Linked DNA regions of Arabidopsis thaliana. The protein of the gene in region 1 interacts with the protein of each later gene in a pairwise test. Each region holds a gene or a part of one and is shown on either strand. Other genes may lie near its edges.

Region 1 (4,789 bases):
GACTCGTCTATAGCTTTTTCATTATGAATATAGAAATTATACAAGTCTAGCCGGATTTGGGGGTTTTGACGACGATACGGTTTCCATCAACAAAAACTCTGACCCGGTCGCACCTGAAGTCTGCGGTCACCGGACTCCCATCCAAAATCACGGCAGCATTGACGGTGGGGTTCTCTCTCTCTATCACCACGGCCGCATAGTCACCATTTGTTCCCGTAAGCTCCGGCCACGAGTTCTTCCCTGCGATCACGTTACGTTAGATCGGTCAATCATTTACGTTTGGGATTTTGGAGATCAAGAAGCTCATATTTGAGTAAATGAAAACAAAAGAACTAGAAACATCACCATGGATTGACCATATGTAACATAATTAACCTTCTAACAGACTTTAGAAAATGTAATCATATATGTTATAGCTATTGAATTACAATTTTAAATGCCTTGAATCCATATCTAATTGAACATTAGCTAACTATTTACAAACATATAAAACTTTAATTATGAACTATACAATACAAATACAAAAACTTACTAGGACATTCGGTCGACATTTTTCTTCACTCTTGTATATATTTATGTAGTCTTCTGATGTATTTGTATGCTCACCTTTAGAGATTTGAGTCCCATTTATAGAATCGGATACGTACGTTACGTCTTGGTGTCGGTGTCGTCGGTGAGGTTGCAGATTCAAAAGTCAAACTTTGACGAAACCAGCTTTTAATAGCCCCTTCGTTGACATTATTAATTTGTTTGGTAAAAGCTTTGACACTTCTGATTTTGTTTTATAAAGCTTTGAAATGTACATATTTATATCACGATGTTCAAACCTTATCGAGAACAAGATAAGGTTTCTAAGGCTAAGATAATGTCGAAATTTGAAAAACAAACGAAGGTGAAAAATATTTCTAGCGTCGACTGAATTCTGTTTGCATGCAAAAAAACGCTTCTGCCAAATTTGGCACTTAGCCGACAAAAATGACCAAACTGTCCTTCATAAAATTCATGTATAAAAATACTATAATCAATTGTTGTCACACACACAAACAACGATAATGTCAATTATGTTGAATTGTTGACGTACATAAAATTTGACAAACAACATCACAACTTAGTCATATAGTTTTTTTTTTGTTCCCGTTTGATAATCTTGTCATATAGTTAATATTCAATTTGATATGTATATACAGTTTAAAACACGTATATACAGTTCAACTTAGTCATAGTTTTTCTTTTGGTCTGTTTAAGATTGGTAAAAGCACGTATCCGGAATAAAGATTTAGGTATTAATTGGTAACAACTCTATATGCGGGTTTCGAACAAAATTACAAAATCACATATTATATGAGACCAAGTCACCATCACACTTAAATATTTGTGGTTGAGAATTAATTAGTGTTTAGTTTTGTGTATGTTTCACACTGCCCAATGTTACAAACTTGTGTGTGTCAAGAAGACGAGGCCGCCTGAAAACAAAACATGTAAGCCCATTGAAACAGACACCAAAAGACATATGGTCTATAAGCCTCTCCTTGTGCTGGAGCTGGACACAAATTCTTTAAGACCGAGGTTTTCAAACGTAGGCCCAAATAAATAGAACCAAATCCAGTTAGAAGCCCAATAAAATGTTAATTACTTATCTTTGTATTTTAATTTTTGTTCTTTAAAGTTTAGGATTTTTTACATAAGTAAAAGAATTTGTTCTTTAGGCACTTTGAATCCACATTGTCGTTGGTATTGTTATTAGAGTATCTTAATTTTCTATGATTTATTTACGTAGATAATTCATTGAAAAATTAAATGAATTTATGTTTAAATTCTCATCTAATTATTATACAATAGATTGAAAAAGTCACCCTTAGTCAAATTGTTCATATAGTTTTCTTAAATTGTCTAATTAATTACCAAATTAATCCTTGTCTGAAAACTTTTACAAAAGCTAATACAGAACAAATACAAAAAAACGTGTAATCATATCATATAAACACCAGTCGCAGCGTTTCGTAGAAAAATTCGATTTCTCTAAAGCCCTAAAACTAAAACGACTATCCCCAATTCCAAGTTCTAGGGTTTCCATCTTCCCCAATCTGTACGCCATTTTCGATTTCCTTTTTTGTTGTTTACTTTAGCTTCATCGACCATGTTTAGGTTTCAAATTGAGTGTTTGTTCTGTTTCTGTAGAGTATAAATGGCGGATACGCCTTCGAGCCCAGCTGGAGATGGCGGAGAAAGCGGCGGTTCCGTTAGGGAGCAGGATCGATACCTTCCTATAGCTAATATCAGCAGGATCATGAAGAAAGCGTTGCCTCCTAATGGTAAGATTGGAAAAGATGCTAAGGATACAGTTCAGGAATGCGTCTCTGAGTTCATCAGCTTCATCACTAGCGAGTATGCATTCCCAATTTTTCTTCTTTCAATCGAATTTGTTGGAAAATATTTTGCTCTTTGGTGAAAAAAATTGATCATTTGTTGGAACTTTGGGTTTGTGAGAGATAGTTTTCTTAAACTAGCTATGGATTGAGTTTAGCTCAGAGAGTTTTTTGAAGTTTATAGAGCAAAGATTATGTTTTTTTTTTTGTCACAATGTTAATCAACCATTGTTTGGTATGGGTTTACCTTAACCTAGTTCCTTTCCTATAGACCATTTTGCAGATTATTTCACATGCTTCTACTGTGTTATATCTTAACTCTGTCAAATAAATTGTTAGATTTTTTTCTTCATTTAACCATCTTAGGGTATAAAAGCCGTATCTTGATCATGTTTCAAAGATTCTTTTATCTTTAGGATCTGTTTGTTTTTGTTCCTTTTTGTTCATTTAAGGCAAAAGATATGTTTTTCATCATGAAGGAATTGCTTGTGTTGAATGCGTTTTAGGTCTCTGATTGATGAGTTTTATGTTTCTTATAACATCAGATGCCCCCGTTCTTTGTTAGGAAGAAATAAGTTATCATGTATGAAACTATGATTTATCTATTGGTTCAAGATAAGCTTGTCTGATGTTGCGCTTAAGTCTCTTTTGCTGGTCTTATGTTGATTCGTTGACTGTAATGGCCAATTGACTGGTATCTGTTTCTGCTAATCAGGGCCAGTGATAAGTGTCAAAAAGAGAAAAGGAAAACTGTGAATGGTGATGATTTGTTGTGGGCAATGGCAACATTAGGATTTGAGGATTACCTGGAACCTCTAAAGATATACCTAGCGAGGTACAGGGAGGTATGTTGCTTTGACTCCCTAATCATGTGTTCTGAAATCCTTAATATCCTAGTCAAGAGATTAGTAGCTGTGAGTAACATCGAAGCTTGCCATGATAGCAGTTTTACAATCCCTTCAATACGTCTTGTGTAGAATTTTTGAAGCAAGAAAGATAAATCTAGACCAACAGTCAGGATGCATATTAGTAAATTTTGAAAGACATTTATTACTCTCTCTTTTGTGCTTTTGTTGTTAACATACATAATAAAATCAAAATGTTTCTTATTAAGTTGAGACTAATTCGGTTCTTTTCATTCCCTGGGATTGGTTGCTGACACACCACCTGCTGATGCAGTTGGAGGTAAATAAACCACATACTTATTTCTACTTTATATTCCATTCCAGTGTTGCCCATTGGCTTCTTACGTTTTGTTGTGAAATTATGATAGGGTGATAATAAGGGATCAGGAAAGAGTGGAGATGGATCAAATAGAGATGCTGGTGGCGGTGTTTCTGGTGAAGAAATGCCGGTATGATTTTGACAAGTATAGATGATACCAATGCTATACAGCCTATATTGTACTTAGCTCTGACTTCATCATTTTGATTCAATCACAGAGCTGGTAAAAGAAGTTGCAAGTAGTGATTAAGAACAATCGCCAAATGATCAAGTAATTCTTCTCTCTATCACACGGCCTCATGTACACAAATGAAGAGCATAGTCTATATGCATGTAGGTTCATATCCAATCTTCACTTCGTTACAACTGATGATAGTAGGACATGCCTTGTAAACTTGCTGATCATGTTATATTTTGCTGTGTGAATGAACTATGGCTAGTTTCAAAATTGTTTGTCTAACGTGAAATTCTCTAAAACGGTGCAGGGGAAATTAGAGATCAGTGAGTTGTTTATAGTTGAGCTGATCGACAACTATTTCGGGTTTACTCTCAATTTCGGTTATGTTAGTTTGAACGTTTGGTTTATTGTTTCCGGTTTAGTTGGTTGTATTTAAAGATTTCTCTGTTAGATGTTGAGAACACTTGAATGAAGGAAAAATTTGTCCACATCCTGTTGTTATTTTCGATTCACTTTCGGAATTTCATAGCTAATTTATTCTCATTTAATACAAAATCCTTAAATTAAATTTGTACAGTACCTTTGTTTTGGGTATAGACAATTACATTTTAAGTCAGTTGATCTGTATCAAATACTACACTTACAAAATCACAAAGTAAAGGCAGCAATTAATTTTGCTTTGAATTGAAAAGCTTTGAGAGAGTAATCAAATGCTTAAATCACGAAAACTTACAAATTTCAAAATTTTGTCTCTCCATAAATTCTCTTAATAAAGGCTGTTGTTTTTCCAATTTGAAAATTCTATTTTTCAAAATCAAGAACAGGCTATGGAATTTCAAGAAGCTGGTTCATCATCAAGTAGAATCATCTTCCTCTGTTTCCTCTCCTATCTAAAATCTCTTTAGTCTTCAGAAACTGATTATACTTTGTGCAGCAGCAAGAGTAAAGATTGACTTTGTGCAGCCGATGGCACACAAAGAGAGCAAATGGAACCATCGCAAAAGCTTGGCCTGGGACACTG
Region 2 (4,470 bases), on another chromosome or scaffold:
GAACAAGAACATGTGAAATATTTGAACTTTTGATTTTATATGACGGAGTGTCGTTTACTTCACCGTCCATACTTAAAAACAAACATATTTTGGTAAACAATTTTCATAGAATATAGAAGAAAAATATATCTCTTGCTTACATGTCATACCATTAGTTAATTACATCCTTCCTCGACATCATTTGGTGTCCTTTGATGTTAAACCTTACTTTGGCACCATACTTTACATTTTTCGGTACAATATGATTTGACAAGCATTAGTTTTGGTTAACATTAGTTTTGGCAAATATTCCGAAGTGGCAAAAGAGTGGCCATACAAAACTAAGGATACGAAAAGTTATGGTGTTGTACAGAGTTGTGCCCCACCCATGGACATTATTAAAGAGAGAAACCAAAATAGATCCACCTAAAACGTGTTCATCAAAATGTGTAGAAAACTTTTTCGTGCAAATGACAAAAAAAACAAAATAAAATAAATAAAAAAATAAATTACATAAGTAAAAATATCAAACATTGTATTATTCTTTTTTGGTTTAGGAGGAAACACCGAAACATTGTATTTTTATTCAGGAACAATAAATAATACACATAGTTTAGTGAATGAGTTTATGATAAACTATTATAAGGTGAACATAACATAGAGTTGTTGGGTGATTCCTCTTCAGATTTCTTCTCTTCTTCAAGTTTTTGTCTTCCAGAGCAGCTTCATGTTCACTGCAGATCCGAAGCCACAAGTACAAATCCATAGCAAGAACATAAATCTTAAGGAACAAACAACCAAATGGTTTCTTATTTTCTATTCGCAGTCCGTAAGTAAATTAACTCGGTATCGCATTCATCAACAAGTATCAACTAACTACTCAAAAAACAACAAGATATCAAATTGAAATCCTTCAATGAATCAAATACTGCAAATGCCAAATGTCTCATGGATTTCTCTGGATACACCTTTATATATTTATCCCCTATCTAGTTAGTCTCTATGCACAAATCTGTTAAGTCCTAACAATGATGCTAGCAAGATTGCTCTCAAATTGAAGCTACTATGAAGTTCTTTTCTAAATGGGTTCTCTAACAATATGTTTACTAGTGCATCCTCAATCTAAAATGTTTGCAAAACAGAAACTATACACTAATGCAATTGTTGTATGAATAGAAGCTCAAAGAAAACTACCTGGAGATCACAGTTGAGGTCAAACCCGACAGAGCGCTCTTCCATCATATTCTCCTGGTTTTGGTGCAAATGCAATAAACGAACATGAATTCTAACTTAGCATCGCATTAAAATGCTTTGTTTCAGATAATACCAATTATTAAGTAAAATAATCACCTCCTCAATCTGGTCCATATCGATTGGAACATTCATATCCGGCAAAATCATTTCAGCAGGAGGTTGCACACCCTGAACAGAAAGATTTAGCACATGAAAACATAATTTTTTTGATTTCACGAGTAAGATTGCGAAAAGGAGCTAACCTGATGGGTGACACAGTGCGGTCCAAAAGGGACACGATCAATCAGGAAATCATAAGTTCCTGAGTTCTTTACGGCCTGGAAGATATCACAACGCCGGATGGTCTCACGAGTGCATGATTGAGTATGCATCCAAGCTCGTAATGTTACCTCTAGAATGAAGTATTCACAGGCTTTCGAAAACAAAGCAGGAACATCACAGCTTATCTTCTGAAAATTCACATATATCTTAGGAAAAAATTGTAATAACAAACATATTTCTTCAAATCTTTGATGTCACATATATCTTGTCTATAAGTATTGATATCAACCTTAGAAAGATGTCAAAGGAACAGTAAAAATAAACAACACTAAAACATTCTAACAGTAAAACTCAACAGACTAACAAATTTGATCATAATGGCAATTTCAGAAACTCTAGACCAGCCAACATAATTCAAGTTAACCTCACATACCTTGACTTCAGGATCAGATTTCAAAATCTTTCTGACCCTAGATAGCGGCAAATGAGTTTGGCCTGTAGGTAACCAAAACAAGTCGAAGAATTAGCATTTAGGTGTCAATGCACTCTTTTTTCCTATTTAGGTACTCTAAACATCTCTTAATATCAGTCACCTGCAAAGTTTCCTAGCTGCTCCCTTTGATTATTCCAAAACACCTTCAGAGCTGTGTCCAACGAAGAGACCCCCTCGATCTGTTTAAGACCAAAATGTTAAAGAAACATACATAAAAAGACTTTAAGCCAAAAACACAGAACTAGGACTGACTAAATTTACCTTGCTTGTTTCAGGATGATTAGATCGAAATTGATCAAGCATTGGCATCGTGTTATGTGAACGAGGCGCAACAGGTTCCATCCTGACGTGAGATGACTTTGGCCTCCTCATGTTATATTTCACAACAGATGATGAAAAATCTTTGAAGATGTAGAGTTTGGCAAGAACAAGGGTTCTCTATATATGGAGCTAGAATCATAACGTAATAATAGTCATTTAAGAGTGTACCAATGACTAAGAGATTCCTTTTAAAGATTGTGAACAAACTTTTCTGGAATAAAGAGGAAAACATTTAATACTCACACGTTAGTAAGGATATACCTCGTGGAGCTCGTGAGGCATACATACGAAAGAACCACTCGCAGACCTTTTCCGTGAAAGCCACGCGCTGCGTAGAAGAAACCTGATGACCGAATTCAGTCTATATAGTAAGAGCACATAGTCTAAATGTAATTTCAAGAACCCAAAGATATCAATATGCCACAACTCATCTAAATGTGATCCAGTCTCATCAATGAAGTTGTCACACAAGTAAACCTGGATTAGATCAAAGCCACATCAAGTTTATTGAGTTCTGATTTTGGTAACTCTTAACTTCCACAAATGATAGAAATGTAATGGCATAAAAACAAGCAAACGATTTTACAAACATTTACATTAGTAAAAATAAATATATCCTATTTCTTGATTATGGTATCAGTTAGACACCAACTTTCACAGAAACAGACCATAGCGAACAGTGACCAACACCCTAGATCTTGTTGCTCTTTAAGATTCCACAAACCATGAACCCAAAAAAGATATAGAACAAATAATTCATATAACTATGCTCACACATTGTCAAACCAGTACCAAACATATGCACTACATGGTACCCAGAAATCAACATTTTCAGACAACTATAACCAAAATTACATACAGAAACTCTAAGTTCATGACAGAACAGACCCAGGAGAAAAATTCTTCCTCTAACTGGCCTAGTGTATTCATAAAGATCAGCAACATACAAATAAATGTTGAAAGCCAATGAAAACAATGGTTACCAATCGTATGCTAGAATGAGTCTACTCCATGTATTATATGATCATGCACAACAATGAACAAGAACAAGAATGTGAATGTGAATCATTTCATAGAATTTAGATTTCTTAGAGATTCTAGCAATTGTTATTGAACGCAGAAGTCAAAATGATTTGAGTTTTTAACTTCTGCGACTGAAGAACTTGGCCAAGCGTGGAACTTTCTTTTTCTTCTTGATTACAAAGAAAGTTGGAGTTCCAACAGATGAGTATCTTCTTGGCTTCCCACGTTGGACCGGTGTGAATTTTCCAACTGGTTTGGGAGAAATATAGCCTTCAGCTTCCGAGTTCCTCTTAATCTTCTGAATCTCACCCTCCACCAATCTCTTCGTCGACAATGACCTTTCCATCCTAAACACTTCTCTCTCTTCTTCCGCTTTCGTCATTTCACTTTCTCTCATCAAAGTTTCCGTCTTCATCAGAAACGATTTTGTGCTAGCCTTGAGTGCTTCCACCCACGCCGCTGCTGCTGCAACTTTCTTCTCTGCGGTTTCTTCCGCTTGTGAAGCATGTTTACTCAAATACTCGTACTCAAACCTCGAGATAGTGATTGTTGAACAATGCTCAGACTCCATTTCGCGACTCTCCATCATGTCTTCTACTAAAGATTCAAGCTTCTCAAGCACTAAAGCCTCAGTGTGCTTCACTTTTTCAAGCTCATCCAACTTTGAATTCAGTTCGCTTTCCTTTTTATCTATATCAAGTTTGGTTTTCTGTGTTTCCGCCTTTGTAACCGTCTTCTCTTCTTTGAAAAGGAACTCCTCTTTCTTTGCAGCATTTCTACTTTTCTTTATCTTCTCAAGCGAACCAACGAAATTCTCAGCAAGAGAGCTAATCCTTTCTTCGGCGATAGATACCACTTCCAACTTCGATTTTTCGATAAGAATCTTTGAGTTGAGTTTCTCAATCTTAACATCATCTTCCCTCAAGATTTTTCCAAGGCAAGCTGTTTCATCCCTGGCTCGGATAATCTCATTCCTCAACGCATCCATTACTGTCATGACCCTGAAGATCTCTACTTTAACAGAAGCAAGTTCCTCCTTCTTCCCTTCAGTCACTTCTTTCAAAACCGATAAACTATACTTCCCTCTTCCAAAAGAACGGTTTGATCTCGACATACTACTACTATCTCTCCCCTGAACT

The links.
Region 2: the proteins of NF-YB1 (region 1) and NF-YC12 interact in binary tests that used the Arabidopsis thaliana proteins (3 or more experiments, as listed by UniProt).

What each region holds. Positions count from the first base shown.
Region 1 is NC_003071.7:16,236,500-16,241,288, forward strand, and holds NF-YB1 (nuclear factor Y, subunit B1), read left to right. Parts: upstream 1-1,992; 5' UTR 1,993-2,086; intron 2,087-2,178; 5' UTR 2,179-2,185; coding exon 2,186-2,385; intron 2,386-3,081; coding exon 3,082-3,215; coding exon of another isoform or gene 3,216-3,343; exon of another isoform or gene 3,344-3,480; coding exon 3,481-3,551; intron 3,552-3,639; coding exon 3,640-3,720; coding exon of another isoform or gene 3,721-3,726; exon of another isoform or gene 3,727-3,808; coding exon 3,809-3,817; 3' UTR 3,818-3,861; exon of another isoform or gene 3,862-4,075; 3' UTR 4,076-4,282; downstream 4,283-4,789. Other genes in the region: AT2G38870 (Serine protease inhibitor, potato inhibitor I-type family protein), read right to left, coding at 47-240, 533-551; AT2G38890 (uncharacterized protein), read left to right, coding at 4,596-4,626, 4,706-4,789. UniProt on the Arabidopsis thaliana protein: Component of the NF-Y/HAP transcription factor complex. The NF-Y complex stimulates the transcription of various genes by recognizing and binding to a CCAAT motif in promoters.
Region 2 is NC_003076.8:15,219,667-15,224,136, forward strand, and holds NF-YC12 (nuclear factor Y, subunit C12), read right to left. Parts: upstream 2,859-4,470; 5' UTR 2,552-2,858; intron 2,438-2,551; 5' UTR 2,360-2,437; coding exon 2,249-2,359; intron 2,167-2,248; coding exon 2,088-2,166; intron 1,990-2,087; coding exon 1,928-1,989; intron 1,683-1,927; coding exon 1,476-1,682; intron 1,402-1,475; coding exon 1,330-1,401; intron 1,228-1,329; coding exon 1,174-1,227; intron 714-1,173; coding exon 711-713; 3' UTR 542-710; downstream 1-541. UniProt on the Arabidopsis thaliana protein: Stimulates the transcription of various genes by recognizing and binding to a CCAAT motif in promoters.